Linked DNA regions of Mytilus edulis. The protein of the gene in region 2 interacts with the protein of the main gene of each other region in a biochemical or structural test. Links are inferred from orthologs where the notes say so. Each region holds a gene or a part of one and is shown on either strand. Other genes may lie near its edges.

What was found.
Region 1: the proteins of unconventional myosin-VI-like (region 2) and tax1-binding protein 1 homolog B-like form a complex in vitro, tested with the Homo sapiens proteins (5 studies listed by BioGRID, with this or other methods). The link is inferred for Mytilus edulis from reciprocal best matches to the Homo sapiens genes MYO6 and TAX1BP1.
Region 3: the proteins of unconventional myosin-VI-like (region 2) and disabled homolog 1-like form a complex in vitro, tested with the Homo sapiens proteins (7 studies listed by BioGRID). The link is inferred for Mytilus edulis from reciprocal best matches to the Homo sapiens genes MYO6 and DAB2.

The regions. Positions count from the first base shown.
Region 1 is NC_092345.1:32,306,364-32,317,039, reverse strand, and holds the start of tax1-binding protein 1 homolog B-like, read left to right. Parts: upstream 1-6,463; 5' UTR 6,464-6,571; exon of another isoform or gene 6,572-6,615; intron 6,616-8,124; 5' UTR 8,125-8,131; coding exon 8,132-8,180; intron 8,181-9,793; exon of another isoform or gene 9,794-10,047; intron 10,048-10,676.
Region 2 is NC_092353.1:45,603,389-45,613,522, forward strand, and holds the start of unconventional myosin-VI-like, read right to left. Parts: upstream 3,899-10,134; 5' UTR 3,770-3,898; exon of another isoform or gene 3,533-3,769; intron 424-3,532; exon of another isoform or gene 258-423; intron 1-257. UniProt on the Homo sapiens protein: Myosins are actin-based motor molecules with ATPase activity. Unconventional myosins serve in intracellular movements. Myosin 6 is a reverse-direction motor protein that moves towards the minus-end of actin filaments.
Region 3 is NC_092344.1:59,957,229-59,967,805, reverse strand, and holds the start of disabled homolog 1-like, read right to left. Parts: upstream 5,031-10,577; 5' UTR 4,948-5,030; intron 4,781-4,947; exon of another isoform or gene 4,564-4,780; intron 1-4,563. Other genes in the region: uncharacterized protein, read left to right, coding at 7,265-9,058. UniProt on the Homo sapiens protein: Adapter protein that functions as a clathrin-associated sorting protein (CLASP) required for clathrin-mediated endocytosis of selected cargo proteins.

The DNA.
Region 1 (10,676 bases), on a different chromosome or scaffold from region 2:
AAGTTTGATCTAGTGCAAAATAGCAAAGGCGACCATGTGCTTCAACGAAAACAAGGAAGTATGTGAGTAGACAAAAGGAGAAATGTGCTTGTGCTTTCATGCAAGTGATTAAACAAATGTGATCGGGTAATAAAAACAAATTTGGTGTAGTGCAAAATAACATAGGCGACCATGTGCTTCAACGACACAAGGAAGAATGTGATAAGATACTGAAAGAACTGTGCTTGTGCTTTCATACAAGTGATTAAACAAATGTGATTGCGTGATTAAACAAGTTTGGTCTAGTGCATAATAATAAAGGCGACCATGTGCTTCAACGAAAACAAGGATATATGTGAGTAGAAAAAAAGGAGAAATGTGCTTGTGCTTACATGCAATTGATTAAACAAATGTGATCGGGTAATAAAAATAAATGTGGTCTGGTGCAAAATATCAAAGGCGACCACGTGCTTCACCGAAAACAAGGAAGAATGTAATAAGATATTGAGAGAACTGTGAATGTGTTATCAAACAAGGGATTTAATAAATGTGATTGGGTGATTAAACAAATTTGGTCTAGTGCAAAATAACAAAGGCGACCCTGTGCTTGAACGAAAACAAGGCATTATGTGAGTAGACAAAAGGAGAAATGTGCTTGTGCTTTCATGCAAGTGATTAAACAAATGTCATCGGGTAATAAAAACAAATTTGGTCTGGTGCAAAATAACAAAGGCGACCATGTGCTTCAATGAAAACAAGGAAGTATGTGAGTAGACAAAAGGAGAAATGTGCTTGTGCTTTCATGCAAGTGATTAAACAAATGTGATCGGGTAATAAAAACAAATTTGGTGTAGTGCAAAATAACATAGGCGCCCATGTGATCAGGGTTGGCAAAGTATAACCCGCCTCGGAATTCCCGGATGGGAAAACCCGGGTTTTCCCGGGCTGGGCAATACTCCCAGAAATTGGGAATACTGGGCATTACTGGGCAATATGATTTTGTTAGCTTATTTTAAGACAAAATAGTAAAGTCTTGGTGTAGTTTCATAGCATTACAGCTGAATATATACTTTTATACAGATAATCATTGACATTCATTTCTAACAGAATGAAAAATTCGATTGCGTTCCCTTCTATGTAGACAGAATACAAGATTTGCACATTTAAGGAAACCTTGTTTATTACGAAGCATTGTTTTCAATAATCATCCATACTTTGAAAAAAAAATATTTATTGCAATGTTTAAGTGAATTTTTAATTTCAAATGTACATTCATATTGCTAAATAAACAGCCTAAGGGGTCATGCCATTAACACTTATAAAATTGAAAGGGATGATTATTGTTACATAAACAAATCTGCATTCTAATCTGAATAATTACTAACTAATTAGTGACAGTACATATACATTTTTTAAATGTAATTTTTCTTACATGTAATTGCTAGTTCTTAAATAGGAGTTATATTTATTTTAATTACAGTTTTATCAATCCAGACAAACAAAAAAGGTTATATATATCTTAAATGTATAACATTTGTGTTTAATCACTAAATCCTCTATAAAATTCAGACCAGTATTTTATATTACCCAGTATTGCACAGTATTACCCACTAAAACCCAGTAAAACCCGGGTTTTTCCAGTATTTACCACTGGGCTGGGCAAAACTCATAAAACCCGGGTTTTTGCCAACCCTTCATGTGCTTCAACGAAAACAGTGAAGAATGTGATAAGCTTATAAGAGAACTGTGCTTGAGCTTTTATACAAGTGATTTAACAAATTTTGTCTGAAGCAAAATAACAAAGGCGACCATGTGCTTCAACGAAAACAATGAAGAATGTGATAAGATACTGATAGAACTGTGCTTGCGCTTTTATGCAAGTGATTAAACAAATGTGATTGGGTGATAAATCAAGTTTGGTCTAGTGCAAAATGATAAAGGCGGCTATGTGCTTCACAAAACAAGGAAGTATGTGAGTAGAAAAAGGAGAAAAGTGCTGGTGCTTTCATGCAAGTGATTAAACAAATGTGATCGGGTAATAAAAATAAATTTGGTCTGGTGCAAAATAACAAAGGCGACCATGTGCTTCAACGAAAACAAGGAAGAATGTAATAAGATATTGAGAGAACTGTGAAGGTGCTATCAAACAAGTGATTTTTAACAAATGTGATTGGGTGATTAAACAAGTTTGGTCTAGTGCAAAATAACAAAGGCGACCCCTTGCTTCAACGAAAACAATGAAGAATGAAGCATGTTATAAGAGAACTGTGCTTGAGCTTTTATACACGTGATTTAACAAATTTGGTCTGGTGCAAAATAACAAAGGCGACCATGTGCTTCAACGAAAACAAGGAAGAATTTGATAAGATATTTAGAGAACTGTGCTATCATACAAGTGATTAAACAAATGTGATTGGGTGATTAAACAAATTTGGTCTAGTGCAAAATAACAAAGGCGACCATGTGCTTCAACGAAAATAATGAAGAATGTGATAAGATTATAAGAGACCCGTTCTTGTGCAATCATGCGGGTGACTAAAAAATGAGATCGGGAAATAAAACAAATTTGGTCATGTGCAAAATAACAAAGGTGACCATGTGATTCAAAAAAAACAATGAAGAATGTGATAAGATTATAAGAGAACTGTGCTTGTGCTATCATTTAAGTGATTAATCAAATTTGGTGTAGTGCAAAATAACAAAGGCGACCATGTGTTTCAACGAAAACAATGAAGAATGTGATAAGAAATTGAGAGAACTGTGAATGTGTTATCATACAAGTGATTAAACAAATGTAATGCGGTGATTAAACAAATTTGGTCTAGTGCAAAATAACAAAGGCGACCATGTGATTCAATAAAAACAAGGAGGAACGTGATAAGACAAAAGGGAGAAATGTGCTCATGCCATTTTGCGATTTTTTTTTTAACAAATGTGATTGGGTAATTACCAAATTTGGTCTGGTGCAAAATACCAAAGGAGACCATCGTGATATCGTGCAAGTGATTAAACAAATGTAATTGGGTAATAAAACAAATTTGGTCTGGTGCAAAATAACAAAGGCGACCATCGTGATATCGTGCAAGTGATTTAACAAATGTGATCGGGTAATAAAACAAATTTGGTCTTGTGCAAAATAACAAAGGCGACCATCGTGATATCGTGCAAGTGATTAAACAAATCTGATCGGTAATAAAACAAATTTGGTCATGTGCAAAATAACAAAGGCGACCATCGTGATATCGTGCAAGTGATTTAACAAATGTGATTGGGTGATAAAACAAATTTGGTCTGGTGCAAAATAACAAAGGCGACCATCGTGATATCGTGCAAGTGATTAAACAAATCTGATCGGTAATAAAACAAGTTTGGTCATGTGCAAAATAACAAAGGCGACCATCGTGATATCGTGCAAGTGATTTAACAAATGTGATTGGGTGATAAAACAAATGTGGTCTTGTGCAAAATAACAAAGGCGACCATCGTGATATCGTGCAAGTGATTAAACAAATCTGATTGGTAATAAAACAAATTTGGTCATGTGCAAAATAACAAAGGCGACCATCGTGATATCGTGCAAGTGATTTAACAAATGTGATCGGGTAATAAAACAAATTTGGTCATGTGCAAAATAACAAAGGCGACCATCGTGATATCGTGCAAGTGATTTAACAAATGTGATTGGGTAATAAAACAAATTTGGTCATGTGCAAAATAACAAAGGCGACCATCGTGATATCGTGCAAGTGATTAAACAAATGTGATTGGGTAATAAAATAAATTTGGTCTGGTGCAAAATAACAAAGGCGATCATCGTGATATATCGTGCAAGTGATTAAACAAATGTGTTGGGTAATAAACAAATTTGGTCATGTGCAAAATAACAAAGGCGACCATCGTGATATATCGTGCAAGTGATTAAACAATTGTGATTGGGTAATAAAACAAATTTGGTCATGTGCAAAATAACAAAGGCGACCATCGTGATATCGTGCAAGTGATTAAACAAATGTGATCGGGTAACAAAACAAATTTGGTCATGTGCAAAATAACAAAGGCGACCATCGTGATATCGTGCAAGTGATTAAACAAATCTGATCGGTAATAAAACAAATTTGGTCATGTGCAAAATAACAAAGGCGACCATCGTGATATCGTGCAAGTGATTTAACAAATCTGATCGGTAATAAAACAAATTTGGTAATGTGCAAAATAACAAAGGCGACCATCGTGATATCGTGCAAGTAATTTAACAAATGTGATTGGGTGATAAAACAAATTTGGTCTGGTGCAAAATAACAAAGGCGACCATCGTGATATCGTGCAAGGGATTAAACAAATCTGATCGGTAATAAAGCAAATTGGGTCATGTGCAAAATAACAAAGGCGACCATCGTGATATCGTACAAGTGATTTAACAAATGTGATCGGTAATAAAACAAATTGGGTCATGTGCAAAATAACAAAGGCGACCATCGTGATATCGTACAAGTGATTTAACAAATGTGATCGGGTAACAAAACAAATTTGGTCATGTGCAAAATAACAAAGGCGACCATCGTGATATCGTGCAAGTGATTAAACAAATGTGTCGGGTAATAAAACAAATTTGGTCATGTGCAAAATAACAAAGGCGACCATCGTGATATCGTGCAAGTGATTTAACAAATGTGATCGGGTAACAAAACAAATTTGGTCATGTGCAAAATAACAAAGGCGACCATCGTGATATCGTGCAAGTGATTAAACAAATGTGATTGGTTTGGTGCAAAATAACAAAGGTTTCCATGTACTGCAAAGAAAACAATTAAGAATGTTATAAGACAAAAGGAGAAATGTGTTATCGTGCAAGTAATTAAACAAATGTGATAGGATTACGGCAGCAACAGTTTTAATTTCAGTTGTGAAGGTCAAAGTGAATTTTTGTATGCGCCGACGAACATTTATTTTCAATCAGTTGGAAACTAAAGACAAACGTGTCTTTCTTATTTTACATGTTATGTGTTGTATTATTATATATAAACAATTAAGGGCATAATAAACAATTCTAGAAAGTAACTAATATGCAAAAACATTAGTGGTGTAGAATTTTTTTCATTTGTTTACTGTACGCAGAAAATTAATGGGACTATATTTATTTTATTATCAAGAAAGTATATATAACTGTTTGGGGGGGGGGGAGTGTTGTAGCAACCCCATAGCTGATTTTTTTTCAACAATTCTTGTGACATCATGTCAGTTCTATTAGCTAGGTACCTATACCTACTGTATACCGCCAACTTGAAATGTATAATATTAGCGGTACAAAATCGGGCTAGTGCTTTGCTTAAATCTGCAAATTCAACAGTTTATTTTGTTGTTGTCAAATTTATTTGCCCTGAAAAAAAGAAAAAAGAATATATTAAATATTTTTAAAAGAATAACAATTCACAAATAAAAAAAAGTCATATGAAATGTGAGAAAATTACATGGGTGCTGAGAGATGATGGGAATTTTGAAGAAAGATATATATGAGAAATTTATTGCATTGTTGAAACTGTTTTAGAAAAAAAAATATTGTTTTGTGTTCGAATCAATTTTTCAACATGCTGGCCATTTTTATGTGGAGATAAATCTAACATTTCTACTGAATGGTAAAATAAAGATAAGGAATTTAAAGATTTTTTTTTTACTTTTTCTTTTTCTTTACTAGATAAAGGTTTCGTTAAACTGTCTTTTATTTTTGTTTCCTTAAAGAATGTTATATATAGCCAGAAGTCCATTACTAGACGTCTAGTAGATAAAAATAGCCTATTTTCTCAGATTTTTCTTTTTTTCTTTTTCTTTTACTTAATTCACAAAAGTGGTAGCTTGAAAAATAGCCAATGCAGTAATGTGAAGTTTTTGATATATTATTTTTAAGTTGGTATGCTTAATTCTACAGATCGTCAATTATTTAAAATAATAAGACCAATGTATGTACTGAGATTCCGCCAATTAAGACGCACCCCTTGATTGACTGCAAGGGTACAGCGGATCCATGTACACTCCCTAAGGATTAATGGAGATGTGTCCTTTACAATATTATCCCACCACCAGAACAATCCCCACCCAACACCGCCCAAGGAAGCGTGTAGGACACCGGGAAGTCTGTTATTATGGTGGAGGAAGCCGAAGTACTCGGAGAGAACCACCGGGCCACTCGGTGGAAACAGACAAACCAGAGAGATATCAGAAGATTGATCTCCAGGTCAAAGTAGGGGACAACTTTGACCAACCGAGGCCCCCAAAGTACCCATTCTAGTTTAAACTCCGGTCTGGGTACCAGAGATGTGTGTGAGAGGGTGAAAATTACCCTTCTGATGTACTGATATTTTTAGCACCCCGAGTGAGAATCGAACTCGGGACCTTCAGCACTGTAGCCATCGGTCTTAACCACTAGACCACGAACTCACATGAATTTGTACGGGAAAATTGAATTATCTCCCTTTATAGCAAATCTTCGAATCATTAAGCACGTGACCATAATTTCCTAAAATAGACATTTTCGTCACAACAAAAACATTATTTGTCATTCTAGAAAACACGTATATTGTCTACTTTCGCGACAAAGGTAATTATAACTGATTCTAACAAAACAGAAGAACACAACGTAATGTAAGTCGGGTTTTATAACACGAAAGTAGAATGGTCAGTAAGTTGTTCGTCTTTTTTCTGTCATTTATGTGATGGAAAAAAAATGTGTTGTCTGTTGACACATTGACCTATTTGTTGCCAGCTGTTCAGCCATTTGTAGAAAAAGTAAACATTCCATTTCAATGAAATTTATTTTCATAAGCAAGAGAAAAACAATAAGATCATATGTGTTGCAACAGTAGGCTGTATGACTTTTGCCATCAAAGTCATGCAATTTGGAACAAATTAAGATTGTGGAAATAGTTTACCATAAACTAAATTATAAATATACTGGAAAATAATCATACAAACATTACATAATTATAAAGATAATGGTCCCTTTTAGTTTATCTTTGATTCAAATATAAGATTTTTTGACATTTTTATAGGGTACCAATACACCTTGTTCATCATTATTGCTATTTGAAAAATGTCCGAGTTCTTCTGTAAGTTTTCCAGTCTTCCATCTGAATAACAGATGACTCGAGAATCTGCCCCACTTGAAGTATTGACTTCATACAATAATCACTTCCATATAGTGGCATCAGATATTTTGTATTATGATGTCAAAATTTTACTGGAACCTTTGTGATGTCCAGTAATTAATGGTGGACAAATAGCAATAACTTAAAGGTGTATTATCGAACTGTTTCCTTTGAAGTTTACCTATTTGTATCACAAATTTACCCCTCTTGCTGTCAGTTGCTTTTTAAGGTTGCATTTTGTGTGCCAGAAAATATGACAGCTTAATGTCTTTAAAGTCACATGCCCAACAATGACATCATGCCCTAATAACCGTTACATTTTGGAGCCATTGACGAAAATATTACAGTTAAATCTTTTACATGTATATGAAAAATACACAGCAGTAATGAGAAGCCTGCATAAATTAAATCATTGACACATGTTTTCCTCCAGCACAGCCAGTGTGGACACATGTGTCCTTTCAGCAGCAAGATAGTTAAAAGCAATTGGAATCAGCATGGGTTTATAGACCTTATCCTTATTTGGGAAAACTGCAGTTGAATTTGTCATGTGACTTTTATCACCAAGTGACGAAAATGTAGGCATTGTCACTTCTAACACATTTTGAGCAAACAGATGAAAAGTTTGATTTATACTGTACAAAATATTTAGGAAATTAAAATCTAATAAGATGGTGACCCTCCCTCAGTCGTCTGGGAATCAAGATAACGTACTTACTGAAATTAAATTCTTCTATACAACCCTACAGAATGACGATTCTGAAAGTGCTGGAAACTTTAAATAGAGCAAGCATACAGACGCACCTTCTATCTGATAAATGATGTCATATACATGTAATGACTAATGGTGTGTGAAATTGGCAATCTTTTCTGGTGAAAGACATGATTCTAGTTTTTATTTTGCAAAAACTATCCTTCAAATTTCTTCAAAATAAAAACATTTCAAACATTTCTGATTAATCCTATTTAGTGAATTACACTGAGCTTTTGCATTTTTTGCTTACAGATAAATAATGAGATTTGGTATGGATGATGAGCCCGATGTAGACAAAAGTGATCAAAGTAAGTATAAAAAAGGGGTGAAAGATACCAGAGGGACATTCAAACTCATAGACCGAAAATAAACTGACAATGCCATGGCTGGCTAAAAAAGATAAAAACAAGCAAATAAATAGTACACAATACACAATATAGAAACTAAAGACTATGCAACAAGAACCATGCCAAAAGATATATTTTAAAAGAGGCCAAGAGGCTTGAGAACACTATCTCAATTCATATTGTTTACAAACACTTATAATTTCCTAAATGTACAAACATGTACCGGTACACTATCCACTTGAAATTTAAGTGCATGCATGATATGTGTATGATCTACATCTAAATCATTTGATCATATCAACTTATTATTGATTCTTGTTAATCTTTGGCCAAACAAATGTGCAGGGATGGATCCGGACATTTTCAAAAGGGGGGGAGGGGTCCCAATTTAAATGCATTGATCGTAAAAAAAAAAAGGGGGGGGTCCAACTCCTGGAACCCCTCCCCCTCTGGATCCACCACTGATGTGTATGAATAGTTTAGAGTATATCTATTGTTTGTCTTCATGAACTGATAATTACCAAACTTAAAATAAATAAAAGTGACCTTAATTCTGTTTTTATCTGTGAAAATTTCAAATTAATGTCTTCACAATGAACAGAATTAAAATAATTTAGAGTAATTTAAAAAATAAAAGAAGTTAAACCCCAACATTTAAAAGATGATTGGCAGATTTTTACCTTAAAAAGCAATGCAGTAACGCCACAATAAATATCAGTTTAATGATATGTCATCAGTTCTCAGACTGTTTGCTAATATTTGAATTCTTTACATTGTAAAATTATTAAAACTTTAAATTTACAAATATAAACAAAGGTGATACATTATCATGGTTATTGTGTAACAGTCAAATATATCTTGTCTGATAGCTTATTTTTATTTTGTTTATCAATTGACAAGATAAGTCATGTATGATTAAAATACTTCTTTATGTAATGATGTAAGGCCAAATAAAAATATATGTGTGGTTCCAGTAACCCTACCTTCCCTACTTTTTTGCCTCAAAAATAGCCTACCCTAAAGATTTTATTATCTTTTTTCATTAAGCACTGTTAAAGTCAGAATGTTGCTCCCATAGACTCAATGTAAAAAAAACCAACATAAAATAAAAAAAAATCCTCACCTACCTACCCTAACTTTTTTTCAGATGTAACTGGAACCACACAGACTTTTTTATTTTGCCTAACAAGACTTATTTCAAATTTTAAATCACTCTGGTAACCGAAAATTGTAGTATTGATTTCCTTCATAAAAATAAATACATGTATTTGTGTTTCATTTTCACACAATTTCCTTGAATTTGATAGACAACAATAAGGATCATGAACTCATTTACATAAATAGCCTCTTTATCATCAGTTTATTGTTTTATTGGGGTAAATTAATATTATTAAAATTATTTTTTTGTGTATAAATTTTGATAAGGTAGTATCTGTTTGAATGTTTGATCGAATGTTTTAGTTCAGAAATTATCAATACAGCACTTTTTGGTTACTAAGTTAATTTAATGATAAAATGTATGCAGGATTGTTAATAATTTTTGGTCCATTTGGTTTCATTGGCACTCAGATGGACTTTGGTTCAGTAGATAAGATTATGTAATGTCTGAAATAGTACCCATTTTAAATGTCTGTATACAATTACATGAATAAGATTATAGATATGTACACAATGTATATATGTGTACATCGATTGTTTACTGATTGTTTACTACGTATGTGAGGGTTTAAAATAACTATTATCACTTCCTTGTTTGAAATAATGGACATGAAAAAATATTATTGAAGGACTTTTGAATATTCAAGGAATTACTGGTATATATTTACAGGTACATTTGAATAATATATATATAATTCTCACTTTTGTAAAGGTGTGTTGGTGCCTTTATCATGTTTATTTAAGTTTTCAGCAAAGTCGGTTCAATTTCAAAGTATTATTTTTTGTTGTTAAAAATTACAAGAAAAGAATCTCAGTTCTTAGAATGAAACAGAAAGTGAAAGTCAACTTCAAACATTTACAGTACAAAAATATAAATGATATCATGGATGTAAATTTTTGGCTACAAGATTTTGTATAAAAAATTGAAAGAAATAGAGGGGACTCTATATACATTTATACAGTGCTATATGTGTACATGTATCATAAATTAAGGTTGAAACAATTGTTTCCTTCCAGACAGGTTATAGAGTGTATATTATAGATAGTGATATGTACAATGTACAGTATACTGGGTCATGAATTGCTTTTCAGAACAGAAAGTAAAATTATTACATTGACAAAGTTTAGGATCCTTTAGAATGTTATTGACTCCAGTTTTAACATAAAGCTTGTAGTCTGTTGTCAGGGTAAGGAAGGGTTATATAGCAGCCTAATTTGAAAAGAGAAGTCAGATTGATCTATTTATACACTTAATGTCATGAATGTTTTAAATTTAAAATCATGGTTTTTACCTAAAAA
Region 2 (10,134 bases):
CCTCAACACTTTTGATGGAATAAAAAGTGTTGTTTTCAATTACCATGATTACAAGTTAAGCAAATCTAGTATTTTGCAGAAAATTTTCATTGCTCGAGACAAATTTTCATTTCAAATTTATGGCAAAAATAATTTATTGATCAGTTTTTTCTGTTATTCATGATTTTATATTCATATTGAGGATTAAAAGACTAAAAGAGTGAAAAATAAGTATACATCTTCAACTATCAATCATGCTGATAATAAATATGACTTACCTCCCTTGAAGTGGCTGAGGTTGCAAATTGAACATAGACAAAACTTTCTATTTCTTTCTAAATATGCTCAAGTAAGACATGAACAGTCCCTTGTATGAACAACTGTAGATCTACATTAGGATGAACAGTGATTAGAGGACCCTTTTTTTATTTTCTGAATGACGAGCTGAAGGATTTTATAAATGAATTAATAAGTCTGCCTCACAAATTTTAGAAGGTCTTCTTGTACATGTATGTGTCTTGAAGAAATCAACATCTGTTGTTATTTAGATACACATGAAATTTTGAAGCATTTTAGAGAAAATACATGTGCATGTCATTGTATGTCACTAATCATTCCGATAAAGCTATTTATCTCCTTATTACTGGGGGGGGGTTTAGAATTTTTTAAATCCACTGACTTAGTGTTTTTTCACATGAAAGCATTGTTTCCATTTTACAGTGATTTAATTAACCCATTGTGTATCTTTTACAGGTATTATAACAAGACTTTGAAGATATAAAAATCAATGATGGATTGTAGATAGACATTTTATAATACTACCATGAAAAATTTAAATGTAGAGAAAAATATCATACACAGCAGCGATTTCTTGTCAATGTCAAACTGGTCAACTCAAATTGGGCTTTTAGGGTATGATAAACATGATGAAATAAATCTGGGAAAAAATATGTATACAAAAAAAAAGAAAAAAAAAGTTCACTTGACATTAAAAAATCACAGTCTGAGAGAGGTTTAAATTAACCAATGCAACTGCATGCACCTTGAGCATTTTGTCAATAAGTAAAATGATGGAATCTTTGGTTATTTGAGCAAATCTTTTCCAAGCAGACACCATAATTACCTTAAAATTAGTAGAAGATATTTCAGAATCTGTCATTGAATTGTGGTAGACAACTAATTACTGCTCTGTGTATTATACATTACAAATGGTATAGACACCATTGACCAATATCAATAAACAAATACATGAAATACTATAACTTTTTCAATTGTGTTATAGTTACATGTACATGTAATTGTTTTATTCCCACCAGGTGAGGACAGGTGTATACCATGTTGTTAATTGACTTGTTATTGACAGGTAAGTGCTAGGTAAGGAAATTACAGTTAATTATGTCATCTTTTGTTATTCGAGATATTTATTTTTTAACCTTTATCTTATATAGTACACAATTTGATTACCTGAGGTTATTTTAGTTGAAAGAAAGGATTAATATTAAATTCTTTGTTCAATTGACACACCATATATATATATATTCTTTATCGTAATATTCTTTATAAAGCACAAAGGTGTCAGTATTCACCTCAGAAACTTACAAAACCTTTGAATAGACTTATTAAGAAGGGATATAATTACGATACTGTTGTCAAGTCATTAAAGATTGCATATTTTGGCGTTAATATTGAGTCACTGATAAGGTCTTTGCATCGGAACTAAACACATTTATTCTAAAAACAGTTGTTGGCATGACACAGGTTATGTTCTTCTCATATATGTTATGATGGTATGATACTAAACCCCTAACGGGAAGGATTGTGCCTGATGTTCATATGATGAAATCATAATCTTTCAGTCAGTTTAGTTGAAGTCTGGAGCTGGCATGTCAGTTAACTGCTAGTAGTCTGTTGTTATTTATGTATTATTGTCATTTTGTTTATTTTCTTTGGTTACATCTTCTGACATCAGACTCGGATTTCTCTTGAACTGAATTTTAATGTGCGTATTGTTATGCGTTTACTTTACTACATTGGTTAGAGGTATAGGGGGAGGGTTGAGATCTCACAAACATGTTTAACCCCGCCGCATTTTTGCGCCTGTCCCAAGTCAGGAGCCTCTGGCCTTTGTTAGTCTTGTATTATTTTAATTTTAGTTTCTTGTGTACAATTTGGAAATTAGTATGGCGTTCATTATCACTGGACTAGTATATATTTGTTTAGGGGCCAGCTGAAGGACGCCTCGGGGTGCGGGAATTTCTCGCTATATTGAAGACCTGTTGGTGACCCTCTGCTGTTGTTTTTTATTTGGGCGGGTTGTTGTCTCTTTGACACATTCCCCATTTCCATTCTCAATTTTATTTAACCTTCAGCAAATTTGCAAATTAAACAGAAGTGATAAAGTTTTGTAAACATTGAAGAAAATTAAGCCCAGCAACAAAACATTTAAATAAAACTGGTTTAGACTTTGCAATTCTAAAATACATACATGTACTGCTGATTGATACTTAGTTTGTGTGCCAATATGAACATGATGAAAATAAGGAGATAGTGTATGTCATTGCCAATGAGACAACAAAAATTTAAAAATAAAGTGGAATTATGGGAAACCATATATATATATAGTCATGATAGTCTTCAACAATGAGAAAAAACATACTGTATAGTTGGCTTTAAAAGATCTTACCTAACTTGAATAATATGAAACCATATTTAATTGAGAAAAATAACCACCTTATTTATCATGTTCTAAATAAACAATTGTTTGTCTACATGGTCTACATGTATTTGAAAAGTGTAGCATTGACCAGTGGTGGATATTGTCATTTATACAACTAAATAAAAACAAAAAACTTAACCTTCATTGCCAAAGGAGGATCCAGGGGTTGATTGAATAGGGAATCACTGAAGCATAAATGGAGAGGGCCCACCGTCAGTCATTGCCCCCACCCCACCGGCACCCCATACAAAAAGTTCTTGATCCGCCACTGAATGCATTGGCTGCTTCTGTCAATGCATTCAATTTGGATTTGAAACTTCAGATCATTATAATGATTATTGGAGTTTTCAATCACTGGCAAAAAGTAAACAAGGAAATTTAATGATAAAATAGACTTGTCATTTGCTTGTGAACTTCCCCCTTCAATATTTGTTTGTCTGTATCACATCCTGTTAAGCAAGCTATAGACATGTGGGTTAAACAGTAACAATGATATTAATTACCAGATAATCTCCTATATGTATTATAATATATGTGATAATCTATATTGAATTGAAAGGGTGTGTCACCTAAATTTGAAAGTTTGCTTTTGTAGCTCTGACATCATTTTAAACGTCAAAAACCCTTGAATTATATCAGATTACAACATACTGCAAACAAGTCATTGATAAAAAATTTAGAAAACCCTTTTTACCTGGAATTATCAAGTATGACTTTTTACATGTTTTACCTGTATATTCAGGTGTGGATATTAGGGTTAATTTCAGAGTTTGTAAAAATGTTGTCACGAATTGACGATTTGTCATCCTTTTGTACTAAATTATTATAAATTCTTACCAAAAATTGTATCCAGTAATTGTGTGTTGAAGGTGTTTCTCTGTTTTATTTCCCAAGTTTATTACCGGTGAGTTGACCTGCTAAAAATAGGAGTAGACGCGCAGTGATATTGAAAACACCTGTTCAAATAGTTCCTTTATTTTCTTTTGTTTTGACCTCTAATAATTACTGGAAGTCCAAGATTTTACCAGCAGAAAGAAAGAGTAAATACATTGGTTTAAGAATCAGTCAACTTACCCAGAGAGTACCAATTTCGTACTTTTTTTGCCAGGTATGCTGAATTGCCGGATGTCAAATAATACACAAAATAAAATGAACCGTTCAAATTCCGGACTAACATTGAAAACTTCAAGAGTTTTAAAATTGTTATTGACAAATTATCAATTTCCATACGATAAATCATCGAAGGACACGCACCTCCATGACCAAAAGAAAAACAAACAAACAAACTAAGGGTCTGGATGGGAGCCTTTAGTTTCCTTAATTGTAATTTTTAAGATTTTTTTTCTTAATCTTTAGAAATAACTCTTATTTTGTTATCTTTTTATGAACATGATTATATTATGTTTTTGTTTCTGCAATTATTCTACTATTTGTTTTTATTCTGTGTGTATGTTCCACTGTGTGCGAAAAATTCTGATCTTCTAACCATTGCAATCGACGAGCAAAAATGTCTGCACCGATATTGTATTTTGAAAGCTTTTCACATTATTTCTAAGCTTTATTAGCTTTGAGAACCTAAAATTGATTAAACTGTAGCTGTTATGATGTCAGCTGCCGTGCCGTGTGTTTTTCTTTTGAGATACGATATTTTCGAACAACAAAATGTCTCACCAATCCGACTACACTTTTTCGTCACATGTCAGAATTCAGGTTAATGATTGGTTAGAAGATCAGATATTTTCGAACATACATATTTAATTCTAAATAATCAATAAAAAGATTTCCACAAAAAATTGAGATACGAGGTTTTTGCATAACAGCGACGATATGTCTTATTTTTGTTTTAATGGATTGCTGTCTCGTCAACGTACACCAACATCTCTCTTTTTTTTTTTATCCATTCATCATTCGAACAAAAAAAAAAAAAAAACCATGATAAAAAATAAAAAAACATGATAAAAATATATATCAGGAGCACATAACTTCAAATTGCGTACCGCGCGGGTCTTCAGGACTGCAAAATTATGGTATACCCACTGTAAAAGTGGACATTATTCTCAGGTAAACAATTTATACATGCTATACTAGTCAAGAAATGACACCACCATATAGCTAAAGATATCAACTAGATCCTATCAATTTCCCTTTGTTTTTTCCTTTGCCGGTGTTCGGACATCCTTTTACTAACCGACTGACCTTTTTTTGAGAAATTTATGTTTTTTTATGACCTGCTGGTTTGTACTAAACATTTGATTTTTATATGTTTAAAATTAAAAAAAAGAGAAAAACAAATATTAATATTCGTACTTCTATAGGCTATAGATATAGTTGACTGAGATAGTTGACATATGTGTTATACTCTGACTGTCGGATTGAATGAGAAAAGTGTCCATAACTCTCCATTTTTCATTAAATGTACTTCGTGGCAAACATTGCAAGAATTTGAAATTCAGTTTTACTAAGGAACCTTTCGTTCATCTTTTCTTGGGGGAGGGAGGGATGTTCAATATGAATAACACACTTTCTATCGTAAATCGTTTACTTAGGAACTGGTCATTTGTAACATTAAGAAAGGGGAAGAAGTTAAGGGGACCTTGATAAGTTTTAAAAATTTAAAGATGTTTAGTCTAATTTTCCAATACTTGAAAATGGGTGTGGGGGGATCAAAATTTGCTCACAGGATTCGAACAATTCTATATAAATATATTTCAAGCCTACAAAAATCATATAGTTAAAATTGACAATAGACACGCGGAATCGTGTCAAAGAGACTACAATACGACCATAGCTAATTTGATGAATACACTAAATCAGTATTTGATTGACTATTTTCAGCAGGAATATCTAATACGCGATTCAGATGTTTTTTCTATATCTCTTGTGTTATCATTTTTTACTTCAAATTTCATTTCAATATTTGTTATATGCAAGTCATGCCATCTTCTGTTTGTTTGTTAGACATGAAGAACGACTATATCAGGGATGGATGGTTTGATGTCTCAGATTTTGCAGATTTTCGAAGCATTGTATGGTTTGTTGTAACGAACACAAGTATTGAGAGATGATGGGATGATTTTTTTTTGTCTTTGGAAAGGATGGGGGGTGTCTTTATTTTATTTTATTATTTCAAGATCAGGACTTGAAAAAAATCAGACTTTCAGTTTAGAATTTCCATTGGAGTTCGGTATTTTTGTTATTTTACTTTTTTCCAAATGTTACGTCCCCCCCCCTCCCCCACCCGAAAGCATAGTCATTTACCCAGTCGACGCACCAAGTCACGCTCCATTTGAATTCGAGCAAGTCCTCAAGTTCAGTTTGTGTGGTTTTTTTTTTTTTTATCTATTTGTCATCCTATTAATCAATTTATGAGAATTTAATGTCGTCAAACCTCTGCTACCTTAATTCATACCTTCAAAATAAATAAGTTTAACATATATTTTTTTTTATGGGATGACAGAAGGGGGATCACAAGTTTTAAAATTTTTGTAACAATTTTAAATTATATATAAATAATATCAGGAGCACACACAACTCAAATTGTGTACCGCGCAGGTCTTCGGGTTTCCAAAATTATTCTATGCTCACTGGTAAAAGTGCTTATTATTCTGAAGTACTAGTAAACAATTTGTAATAGAAAAAAAGATATGGGGCAAAATGATTAGGATAGACTTTGTAAGATGTATCACAGCCAAATCGAGCATTATAAAAAAACATACAGGAAAGTATAACATATTTAAAACAAAATAGTTTCTACGCATAAGGTGTAATATAAAGCTATGTAGAATATATTTTAGTTGTTAAGGTATCAAATGAAAGGTGAATGATTGGTGATCCTTGTACTGACTAATAATTTTGAATAATACAAAACTGTATGAACGAATTCTAAAACTTCGGGCATATATATTGCCTGTTTAATTTCTCGGTACATGTTATACTAGCCAAGAAATAAAACATCACAACACAGATATATATCAACAAATGCTAAACCAATCACAAAAAAGCTTGATCCTATCAATTTTCCTTTGTTTTTTCCTTTGTCTGTATTCGGACATCCTTTTTACTAACAACTGACTTATTTTGAGAAATACATGTTTTTATGACCTGCTGGTTTGTACTAAACATCTGTGTTTTGTTGTTGTATTTTTTAATTAATAATAAAACAGATAAATGTTAACATATATATGTTAATATCCATATGGGCGTTGTTGAATTATATGTTACATTCTGACTGCCTGATTGAAGCAGTGGCGGATCCAGAACTTTGCCTAAGAGGGGGCCCGCTCCAGTCATGCTTCAGTGATTCCCTATATACTCAACCAAATTTTTCCCACGAAAGGGGGGGCCCGGGCCCCCCAGGGCCCCCTTGGATCCGCCTATGTGAAGGCAAAAAGTGTCCATAACTGTCCCTTTTTTTTTAAATTCAAAATGAACATCGTGGCAAACACTCCAAGAATTTGAAATGCAGTTTTACTAAAGCACCGACCGTTCGTATTTTGTCAGGAAGGGAGGGGGGTTCAATCTGATTAAAATAACATATTTATCGTAACTCGTTTACATTTTCAAGGGACTGGTCATTTGTAACCTGAAAGTGGGAAGGATAAATTAAGGGGGCCTGGAAAATTTGGGAATATAAAGTGGGGGTCTAATTTGTTAATAATACTTTAAATGAAAAAAGGAAAAAAGGCAGCGAAATTAATTCACAATATTTGAGCAATAAATTCTGTAATTCACACATGCAAAAATTATAGCTTATTTGATGAATATACTAAATCAGGATATCTAATTTCATTTGATCAATATTTGCTTCATGCAAGTCAAAGCCTTCTTTTATTTGTTTGTTAGATATGAAGAACGCAATATCAGGGATTGATGGTTTAATAATGTCTTAGTTTTTGTAGGTTTTCTGGAAGCTTTTATAGCCCGGCCGATCGGTGAAAAAATTGCTCAAATAATGAGGAAAGCACCAATTTTTGCATGATGGTACATTTTTTTTTGTACTGAGCAATATTAGCTATGGACCCACCCTCAAAATTCAATATGGCGGATTATTTCAAGATGGCTGCCGTACGTTCTAAAATATTTTCCAGTATTGCACAGTGGATTAGATGCTGGAAGCACTAAAATCAACATATTTGAATGACTTGGTGTACTTAGCAAGATTTTGTTTTGATCTATCTTTGAAATACAAAATGGTGGCTATTTTCAAAATGGCCGCCTTGAAAACTAAGCAAATATTCATTATTGAGAATTGACCTGAATATAAGAATTTTATTGATGTACAGTGTCATTTAGTATTTGTCCCAGTTCTGTCCTTTTTAATTTTGCCTTGCTTGTTATTTCATACACAAAGTAGTAGCTTTTATCAAAAGCTGTAGTAGTAGCTTTCATTAAAAGCTGCACTATTTGTTGTCTTGGGTCACACATAAAAGCTGTGATTTGGGATTTATCTGCCTAAAGATATTATTCAGTGCCTATCTTATTTCTTTGGTCGCAATATTTTGAAATTTGAGATATTATACTGTGAATAGAAAATCTTTTAAACACATATCAGTGAAATGGCAGAAATTGAGGACAACAAAGACAAGAACATTGAAATGGCAGAAACTTAATCACTTGGGGATACGGAGAAACCCACAGCTGAAGACGCTTTAACAGAGGACAACTCAGAAATGACTATTAAACAATTGTACCAAGAATTTTTAGCAGATAGAAAATCTAATGCTCAAAGAACAGCTTGGATTTACTGCAATATAAAACAGAGCGAAGAGCGAATTGCTAAAATATGTGTTGGTCTCGATTCAAGCAGAACAGAAAGAGGCAATGCATTTTAATAACGAACAGATGGGAGCAATATCTCAGCAACTTCAACAGTCTGAAGATAGGGTAGACCACACGGATAGTGGAAATTGCTTGGCGAAATGGATGGTCAGACCAATAACATATTCAATGTTGTGGTGAGACGGATGGACAAGCTGAAAACAACTGAGGAAGGAGACACAGTTCAATTTAAAGTTGCATTTGAACAGTAGGATACCTTCCAACAACTGGCATATGTTGTAAATGAATTAGTGGACAATTGAAATAAAGAAGTTAAAATGCCTGCAATGAGCACATCATCTAAGCTAAAATTTTACCTTAGCCAGTACAACGCAAGTTTACCAAAAGTACACAACGAAATCCATGCCTTGGGTCTTTCCCCAATTGTAGCTCGCATGAACCATCAACCGCGCAAACTTTGCTAAAGGTGTCTTCACCTTAAGTCAAAAGTCCTATGTCAGGGCCAATGGCCCTGCACGAAACAGTTCAAACTATTCAACAACAATCTCCATTTAAGAACATACTATAAACCTCTAATCAAGGATACCAGCAAAAGGCTTATGTGTCGTCTTACGCACACATACCATCTACTTTGAGTCAATAATATTTGGTTCAGAGCAGCACATCATTAAAGAAACAATTGGCTGCAAGTGGATCCTATCAAGTTTCTCCAATGCTGAATGCAGTGCCTACTTACGGTATCATCCCCGTCGATTTAATGGCAAATCCCACATTTATCACTCTAATTATGACAACCTCGTCAGCTCCTGGAGCTCTAACAGGCTTCCATTAACAGCAAGCTGACTCCACTGACTGACCAAGGAGAGGGCAGAGGAAACCAAAAGAGTTGTTCTTCTTCAGACTCCTCATTGGAGAGAGAATATACCCGATGGCAAGAAAATATCGGTGCAAGGGACTGGAGCCGAAGCCCACAGCTCCCAAAAATGCAAAAACTCAATTGAAGAGGACCCTTGAATTGGGAGGCGTTCATTTACCAATTTTAACGAACTGCCGATAGATGACAATGGAAAAGCAGGAAAAATGTGTGTAGGCCTCAGATTGCCAGGCCGATGTTGGCTTTGAGTACGCTCGCAAGGTAAACACTGATGATGATTCCAAGGCCTTAAAAAAAGCATTGGAACAGCGCTTCAGCAAGAAAGACGATCAAACCAGATTGGAACCGAAGCATTCCTCCGAGAATGTAAAGACAAAAATTCTACAAGGCATGTAATAGAAAGGAACCCAGAAACATTCAACAAGGCGTCAAAACAATTGAAAACCTCAATAGCAAACCAGATTGCGATATATGGATCAAAAAGTGCCAATTATGACCATCGACAAGTTTACTTTCCTGATGGTGCAGTATCACCGACCGATAAAGGAAATATGAGCAGTCCTTTGGATAATGAGGTGCATAACCTCACACAAATTGTCACACAACTAGCTGATGTTATGCTTTCAACTAATCAGCATAACCGTGGATTGGACGATCAATATAACCTCGGTTCTTCTGATCAAATAATCATGGAAAATCATCAGTTCAATGGAACATCACCTGATCAATATACACGTTGCAGACCTCCTGAGCAATAAAATCGCGGTAGTTCACCAGATAGAAATAC
Region 3 (10,577 bases), on a different chromosome or scaffold from region 2:
TTTGAAAATTTTACTTAGCCATGGTATTTTGACCCCCTGCGGTATATTGAACCCCCTACTATAGACCTTGAATTTCAAAAATTGAAGCTATTCTAACTCCTTAACATAGTTATAATACTCCAATAAGTAGTTTGTATGTATTTAATATACTGGAAAAGAAATTTTGAAAATTTTACTTAGCCATGGTATTTTGACCCCCCTGCGGTATATTGAACCCCCTACTATAGACCTTGAATTTCAAAAATTGAAGCTATTCTAACTCCTTAACATAGTTATAATACTCCAATAAGAAGTTTGTATGTATTTAATATACTGGAAAAGAAATTTTGAAAATTTTACTTAGCCATGGTATTTTGACCCCCCTGCGGTATATTGAACCCCCTACTATAGACCTTGAATTCCAAAAATTGAAGCTATTCTAACTCCATAACATAGTTATAATACTCCAATAAGTAGTTTGTATGTATTTAATATACTGGAAAAGAAATTTTGAAAATTTTACTTAGCCATGGTATTTTGACCCCCCTGCGGTATAATGAACCCCCTACTATAGACCTTGAATTTCAAAAATTCAAGCTATTCTAACTCCTCAACATAGTTATAAGACTCCAATAAGTAGTTTGTATGTATTTAATATACTGGAAAAGAAATTTTGAAAATTTTACTTAGCCATGGTATTTTGACCCCCCTGCGGTATAATGAACCCCCTACTGTAGACCTTGAATTTCAAAAATTCAAGCTATTCTAACTCCTCAACATAGTTTAATATAAGACTCCAATAAGTAGTTTGTATGTATTTAATATACTGGAAAAGATATTTTGAAAATTTTACTTAGCCATGGTATTTTGACCCCCCTGCGGTATATTGAACCCCCTACTATAGACCTTGAATTCCAAAAATTGAAGCTATTTTAACTCCTTAACATAGTTATAATACTCCAATAAGTAGTTTGTATGTATTTAATATACTGGAAAAGAAATTTTGAAAATTTTACTTAGCCATGGTATTTTGACCCCCCTGCGGTATAATGAACCCCCTACTATAGACCTTGAATTTCCAAAAATTCAAGCTATTCTAACTCCTCAACATAGTTATAATACTCCAATAAGTATAGTTTAATATACTGGAAAAGATATTTTGAAAATTTTACTTAGCCATGGTATTTTGACCCCCCTGCGGTATATTGAACCCCCTACTATAGACCTTAAATTTCAAAAGTTCAAGCTATTCTAACTCCTTAACATAGTTATAATACTCCAATGAGTAGTTTGTATGTATTTAATATACTGGAAAAGATATTTTGAAAATTTTACTTAGCCATGGTATTTTGACCCCCCTGCGGTATATTGAACCCCCTACTATAGACCTTGAATTTCAAAAATTGAAGCTATTCTAACTCCTTAACATAGTTATAATACTCCAATAAGTAGTTTGTATGTATTTAATATACTGGAAAAGAAATTTTGAAAATTTTATTTAGCCATGGTATTTTGACCCCCCTGCGGTATAATGAACCCCCTACTATAGACCTTGAATTTCAAAAATTCAAGCTATTCTAACTCCTCAACATAGTAATAAGACTCCAATAAGTAGTTTGTATGTATTTAATATACTGGAAAAGATATTTTGAAAATTTTACTTAGCCATGGTATTTTGACCCCCCTGCGGTATATTGAACCCCCTACTATAGACCTTAAATTTCAAAAGTTCAAGCTATTCTAACTCCTTAACATAGTTATAATACTCCAATAAGTAGTTTGTATGTATTTAATATACTAGAAAAGATATTTTGAAAATTTTACTTAGCCATGGTATTTTAACCCCCCTGCGGTATATTGAACCCCATACTATAGACCTTGAATTTCAAAAATTCAAGCTATTTTAACTCCTCAACATAGTTATAAGACTCCAATAAGTAGTTTGTATGTATTTAATATGCTGGAAAAGATATTGTGAAAATTTTACTTAGCCATGGTATTTTGACCCCCCTGGGGTATATTGAACCCCCTACTATAGACCTTGCATTTCAAAAATTTAAGCTATTCTTACTCCTCAACATAGTTATAATACTCAAATAAGTAGTTTGTATGTATTTAATATACTGGAAAAGATATTTTGAAAATTTTACTTAGCCATGGTATTTTGACCCCCCTGCGGTATATTGAACCCCCTACTATAGACCTTGAATTTCAAAAGTTCAAGCTATTTCAACTCCTTAACATAGTTATAATACTCCAATAAGAAGTTTGTATGTATTTAATATACTAGAAAAGATATTTTGAAAATTTTACTTAGCCATGGTATTTTGACCCCCCTGCGGTATATTGAACCCCCTACTATAGACCTTAAATTTCAAAAGTTCAAGCTATTCTAACTCCTTAACATAGTTATAATACTCCAATGAGTAGTTTGTATGTATTTAATATACTGGAAAAGATATTTTGAAAATTTTACTTAGCCATGGTATTTTGACCCCCCTGCGGTATATTGAACCCCCTACTATAGACCTTGAATTTCAAAAATTCAAGCTATTCTTACTCCTCAACATAGTTATAATACTCCAATGAGTAGTTTGTATGTATTTAATATACTGGAAAAGATATTTTGAAAATTTTACTTAGCCATGGTATTTTGACCCCCCTGCGGTATATTGAACCCCCTACTTAAAAGCACAAATTAAAAAAAATGATAGCCAATAAATTGTAAATTAGATTATCTGCAATACTATTTATCAAAAACAGGGGGGTTCAATATACCGCAGGGGGGTTCAAAATACCATATGTGAAAAATGACCCCGGGGTCAAAATACCATGCGGTATAATGACCCCGGGGTCATTTTACCGCATGGTATTTTGACCCCGGGTTCACTTTTTAGGGGGTTCAAAATACCATATGACACCGCCATCAAACTTGGGAAGCTATCTGGACCATTGAATTACAAGTATATCTTCTCTGGGTGTTTTGCAGAGAAGCAGAAAATACCAATTCTTTGGTTTGACCCAACTTGGTTTAAAACTTATATCATTGAGTTTGGAAGTAACAAATGTAGGTAATATTACTTTTAAATTGGTTTTAACAGCAGAAAAAATAGTATGTGCCTTGTGCAAATGTTGTGCTTGTTCAAAAATTTTTAAAATCATTAAGGGGAGACACTTAAAACTAGAGTTGGGTTGTTAATATTATTTTTTAGGGCAATAAGCTAATGTAAATGCATATACATATGTAGGTTGGAGTGACCCTCATTAAAGTGAATGCTCATTAACAATACATAGATATAGGAAGATGTGGTGTGAGTGCCAATGAGATAACTCTCCATACAAATAACAATTTAAAAAGTAAACCATTATAGGTTAAAGTACGGCCTTCAACACGGAGCCTTGGCTCACACCGAACAACAAGCTATAAAGGGCCCCAAAATTACTAGTGTAAAACCATTCAAACGGGAAAACCAACGGTCTAATCTATATAAACAAAACGAGAAACGAGAAACACGTATATATTACATAAACAAACGACAACTACTGTACATCAGATTCCTGACTTAGGACAGGTGCAAACATTTGCAGCGGGATTAAACGTTTTAATGGATCCAAACCTTCTCCCTTTTTCTGAAACAATAGCATAACATCACAACAAAGATGTTATGTACATGTACATCTGAATCCAAAATAAATTAAATGAGAGATATATGAGGTACATTTGTATACATGTATACAAAAACCAAGTACATTGTATGTGTCAAAAGTACACTGATGCCCCACTCTCATTATTATTTTCTATCTTCAGTGGACCGTGAAATTGGGGTAAAAAATCAAATTTGGCATTTAAATTAAAAAGATCATTTCATAGGTAACATGTGTATTGAGTTTTAAATTGATTGAACTTCAACTTCATCAAAAACTACCTTGACCAAAAACTTTAACCTAAAGACAGACGGACGAACGGACAGATGGACGAATGGACAGCTGAACAGATGCACTGACCAGAAAATATAATGCCCTCTACTATCGTAAATGGGGCATAAAAATAAGATGATTCTACAATAGCTGAAACAATAATAAAATAATTCATCAATTTTGCAGTAATTCATATGTACCGATATTTATGTTACATGTCAGTCTTTTTAAAAAAAAATCTCATTTTTTTTTAACTTTGAAAAATTGTGGTTAACCCATTTTCAATGATGCTCTTCTGAAGAGGTTTGGAGAATTTTTGTTTATATGTAGATATAGGAATTGAAGATGTGGTACAACTGTATGTAAATGACATGGTATAGTAAAAACAAGTTGTAAATGTAGTGTAACCATCAACAATAAGTACAAAAGATTACAATTGTCAAGTGTCAACATTGAAAAATTATTCTTATACAAGGAGATTTGACAAATGTAATAATTAATATTACCTGCATCTACATCATTGTACATGTGTACAGTACAAGAAACTTACATTTACATGATTGATACACAAGAAATTAAAGTATTCAATTCTGATTCCTTTAGCAGTGTATAAAATCTTAATCTATGTGAATATTATCTTTTTCTTCTTCATAACATAATAATTACTTTGTGATATTCCAAAGTGGTACACTTTATCAATATTATATCGTAAAAGGGGGCGTGTAGCATGTACATTTCAGATACACACTATTATCTCGGCAATTAACCGTTCCTTATTAGGAAATTACAAGTTGAAAACATGTGAATATTTTTCTAAACTAGTAGAACATTTCCTGGTTTGTATTTTACCAATTTTAAGGATTCCAAAGTGAAATGAAATGGTTCAACAACTTTGACCCCGTTTCTGAAGTTGAGATCAGGTGATCCAAAAATAAAGCGAATTTCTGTGAACAAAACTGTGAATAAATTAGGATGAAGGAACACATAATTTTTAAGAAATTCAAAAATCTATTAACTTTTGTCTGACAGTTTATAGAAATGTTCACTTACCCTTTGTTATTCATGTACCCATTTTCTCGTGGGCGATCATGCATCAAAACAAACCAAAATCAAACTAAAAAGAAACCAACCACGGTAAGGACTTGAATATTCGAAAATGAGTATTAAAATCAACATGGTATTTTATTCTATATTAAAGAAAGAACAGAAGTCATTGAGTATTTATGTTTTACATGCCAGCAACACTTAAAGCCATAAACTGAAACGATGGACATAACCTGACTGAAATGAAATTACGGATTGCCGGATTGATTGATGATTCTCAAGTTTTCTTTTCGTCCAGTGACAAATATTTCATGCGTTTTGACTGAACAAAATTTTCAATTGAGAATTTCATGTTTCTTTTTGTAATTTTTTTTAAGTAAAAACGTTGACCGAAATTTAAAAAATATGCGCATGGTTAATGCTTTTAAAACCCTATAAAATTACTAAAAGAAGCATATTTACTTTAATATAATTACATTTTTTGACTAGGATCATGGAAACACGATTTCTATCAAGTTTTTCATTAATTCACCTGTGTACTTTCTTGTTGAACCTCCGTCCTCGTGTCGTCATAAATATTACATTTCATTTTGATCAGATTTCTATATATGATCCAAAAACAAAAAACGGTAACGAAATGCCTGACTTTATAAATTATAAATCAGTTTCGGATATAATTTACCTTCATTAATTTAAAACGTCAGGAACTACAACCTTCACGGTCATAGAGAGCGAGTTGGTAAACTATATATATACATACCGTAAGATGGGACAAAAGGAACCTTCCCCCTTTCCCTCCCTTGTCTGTCAAAGGCCCCTAAAACAATAAAATTTGAAACATGAATAAGTCTTTTATCTCTAATGTGATATTTTTGTAATCTTTTCGTGTGTGAAATTGAAAAAATCTGGTAAAGGGCAACTATATTAGATCTCATAACTTTTGATCAAAACATATCAGACTATTACTATTTTAGTTTATATATACTATTGTCAATTTGATAAATGATTATATTTCAAGTTTTAATTTCAATTATTACTTCTTCAAAACAATTACTGATCCGCATCAGTGCTTTTGTCGCATATATAAGTTTTACCATATTATAATAGGAATATATCGACAATTTATCTAAAGAAGCTTAAAACAGTTCAAAGAAAATAAAAGGGAAAGGTAAGATATCAGCGTTATACAAACATATTTCAAGCTTAAATCTTTTTTATTTACATGAACTGAGGTGCTTTCCTTTCGTAGGCAAATATAGACGGGTGGTTATGAGTGCTGCATGCGTATACTTGGTGTATATTTAAAGAAGATGTGATATGTACGCCCAAGTGAGACAACTCTTCACAAGAGACCAGATGACACAGAAATTTACAACTATAGGTCACAGTAACGATCAACATTGAACAATGCCCATATCTCATAGTCAGCTAGAAATGGCCACAAAATGCCACATATAAATCAATTCAAACGATAATGCCTAGTAAGAGTGTCTGGATTTTATTTATATTTTTAGAGGGAGTCTGTCATTTCTGTATGCATACATTTTATAGCAGTTATCCTGTTTTCTTTATTTGTAATTTTTGTATTTTTTTACCGTAGCTATAATTTTCTTAATATTTGAAAATTCCATTCTTTATTCCTTTTTTTTGTTGTTCTATTTCTCACTGTCATTAATGTTTTGCCAATTATTATCTAATCCGTAAATCCATTCGGACCTCTTTATCTTTCATTTTCGTCAGCTCATACTTTCAACTCATTCTAATCTAGCATTTTCTAAGGTTATGAGTTCATTTCTTTTTTTTTTTTTTTTTGCTCAGCAATCCGTTTGTGTGTTGATCTATGGAAGAAATAATAAATCTGAACTTATACACTTATGATAGAATTTTTCTTGTCCAATCTGCTATACATTTGGTGGCAGTTTAATAACAATTGCTACTAACCATTTTATACATATGACAGAAGGTATTAACATTGATATTCAACCTTCCACCACACTATGACTTACTAGTACAAACAGCAATAAACCCCTCGCAGAAAACATACTTACAAATAACAACGAATAATACAAAGCTCAGATAGCCTTACTTCGTACAGGCATATTATTTGATTCTGCGAAACTTATCTTACATATATATTTGGTGTTGGTAGTGGAACTGTCCAGCATATTTCTGATATACTTTCATGCATGATAATTTTTAAATGTCATCTCGAGGGAATAAGGAAAGGGTTCAATCCTTTGATAACACAGGTGCCCCATTGTTATTTACTAGGCGTACCGTTGTTTATAATAGCAATAGAAAACATGACTTTTTACACTTTCAGATGGAAAAGGAAAAGAAAGTCAATATCGAAATATGCGCTGCTTGTCTAAGGGACAATGATAATGTTGAAGCCAAACACTGGTGTTGTGACTGTGCCGAAGCATTATGTGAGGATTGTGGGAAGGTCCATAAAAAGTCTAGATTCACAACCTCGCATAAACTTATCCGTCTCCGGGATGTTAAGAATACTAAATCATTTCTAATGGCTACGTCTTTCTTATGTGATCTTCATTCCGATTTAAGAGTGACCTTCTACTGCAATAGACATGACCAGCTGATTTGCCAAACCTGTTTGTTACAAACACACAAGGACTGTAAATATATTACTGCAATTGAGCAGCTAATGCCAGAGAGACCGCGCAGTAGTAGTAACGACTATTTTGATGTTCTACAAAAGCAAGCATTAAAACTTGCCGACTCTTTAAACCAACTGATAAATACCAGGAAAGAAAATCTAGCAAACCTTGATCAACAAAACAAGACAATTCAAGAAACAATTAAGAAAACAAAGTCTGAAATCATAGATCATCTAACAAAACTAGAAGAAGAACTACTAAACAGTCTCAGTGTGAAATACGACTCCTGTGTTGAACAAATAGATGATGAAATTTCCCAGCTTCAACATAATAAAGACCTGATGTCTATTCACGATAGTGATATTGAATTAATGAGAAAGAATGGTTCTGAACCTTATAAGTTCACAATTGTAAAGAAGTTTGAACAGACTAAACCAAGAACTGAAGATATCATAAGTAACTTCAGAGATAGATATAAACCATTGGAAATCGATTTCACCCAAAACGAAGAACAATTGGCATCGCTTTACAATGCAATGGGTTGGGTCGATATTAAAGTTATCAATCGAGTCAAATCTGCTTTCACTGAAAAAACAACTTCACCTAGGCCGACCAGCAAACAATGGGAAAGTCCAACAGAGAGCAAGATTGTACCTAGACCTGTATCAACTCGATCCGTTAGTAATTTCAAAGAAAGTGAACTGTCGTTAATAAAACTTGTACCTCAAACTCCCTCGATTATACAGCTAGTACTATACAAAAAATTCCCGACGTCTTCATCTTTAGGAGAAAATATCACAGTTTCACGTGGCTGTTTTATCTCAGGGAAGCATATGCTTTTATGCGATGCGCAGAATAGATTTATATTTGTATGTAACCTGTACGGGTCAATGACCGAGAAAATTCCATTGCTGTACTTTCCACATGATGTTGCCCTGTTTGACAGGAATACAGCCGTTGTCGCAGCAGGCGAGAGGGGTATACAAGTTTTTGATATCACCGACAGTGAATGTAGACCAGATCGATTTATAAGACCTGGCGGGAAATGCACTGCGATTTCCTGCATTGACGATCAAATCATCGTCCGGAGTGGACACTGCAAAATAAGCATTCTCGATCGCGCGGGAATTTCCATTTTCAAAATAAACACCAAATATGACCCGTTGCTTTTAAGCGCAGGAATAAACGGCTCCATTTACTGGACAAGTAACAACGGCGATGAAGTCCAATGCATTGCGCGAGAGCGGTCACAATTTATCTGCAGATCTGAAACGTTGGTTGGTCCATCTGGACTCGCTACAGATGGCTTAGGTCACGTGTTTGTTGCTGGGTACGAATCTGGAAATATCCATCGGTTGTCAAACAGAGGAACTAAATCCATGGTCTTAGACGAAGGAATACATCATCCTTGGGGTCTGGCATTTGATCAAGATTCTCAAAGGTTAATGATTATTAATGACGACGGAGTATCTATTGATATTTATACAGTTTGCAAGTAGACGACAATTTATTGTTTTATATTACAATAAAAATAAGAATACCTATTATTGCAATCAATGCCCTTGATGGTCAGCACGACATGTATAGACACAAAAGAATACACTGAGATTTGTTACTGAAAAACATTTCTTTTCACATTGAAATGAAATAGTCATGGTTCATGTAGATATAGACTAGTCCAAATAATTATGACGTCTTGAAAATTATTTGGACTTGATATAGACATGATAGAGCTACATTATATTAATCAGACAAAGAAAGATAACTCTAATCAATTTAACGACATAAAACTTAAGCTTGACATTTGAATTATCGTCCTTTGTTTGTCACTGAAAATGATGGATGTCATGAATCAACAAAAACTAATGCTGATTTTTTTCTTAAATGAACAGATTTATATTGAGGAGGTGCAGTAATGTCTACTGGAATTTGGTTGAAACTGGTGCAGACAAATTTGCGTTTCAAGATTTTTTTTTAGTAAAAAGGTTTGATGTTGTCTTTTAAATCGGTGTTTTAGCTTGATGCACTTATTGCTGAGTGGTGATTGTGCTTCGGTCATTGCATCATTTATATTATATTATAACTGTCGCTTCCAAGCCCTTATTGGAATTCAGATTTGTCGTGTGTACCTGTGTTTTTTATGACGTTGCCGAACAGGAAAACTGCTCGGAAGTGCATACGTCAATATTACTTAGGCTTATTGGATGGCGATTGTCACATATAGACAGATTATAAATACTTCGGTGAAAGTATTCATTTAAACGGTATTACTTTTAAGTGTGTTGTTTGTTAATTTATTGTTTGTAATAGTAAGAGTAAGTTATTGCCCTTAAACCACGATGTTTACCATTTTTGTGGTTTTGCCTGTTTTTATTTGTTTGTAAACTATTATAAATAGAGAGAAACTCTAAAATGGAAAAAGAGATCAGCAAGACAAGATTTACAAATAAGACAACAAAGAAATTGTCAACCCTTTAATGTTGCCATAAAATGACAATTGTTGCGTTTTTGTCTAATTTTTTTTAAACTATATTTATAAAAGAAGAAAAAAGTTCAGCTACATTTTTTTAAACATGGCCAAATTATCTGTCAACTCCTTATTGGAGTTATTGTCCCGAAATCAGTTTTTTTATTAGTTTGTATGTATTTTGGGCCACTAACTAAAGTAAAAAAGAGAAACTTCACAAATCAAAAATAAACAGTTAGACAATTAGGGTCTGCAAATAAGTCAAATATAGCTCCATGAAACTGTCGGTAAACTCAGCAAAGGAGTTATTGCCCTTAAATGAGATTTTTGAATTGAGAGTAAATATTAATTTCTACTTTGTCAGTCCACTAATCATAGGAGTTATTCACCTGTACGGATGAGGATTTTGTACGCAATTTTGCACTTTGGGCAAAACTATAGTAGAAAGAAATTATAAACAAAAAAATTAATCAATAAAAAAGAGAATTTGAGTCATGAATAAAATTGAGAATGGAAATGGGGAATGTTTCAAAGAGACAACAACCCGACCA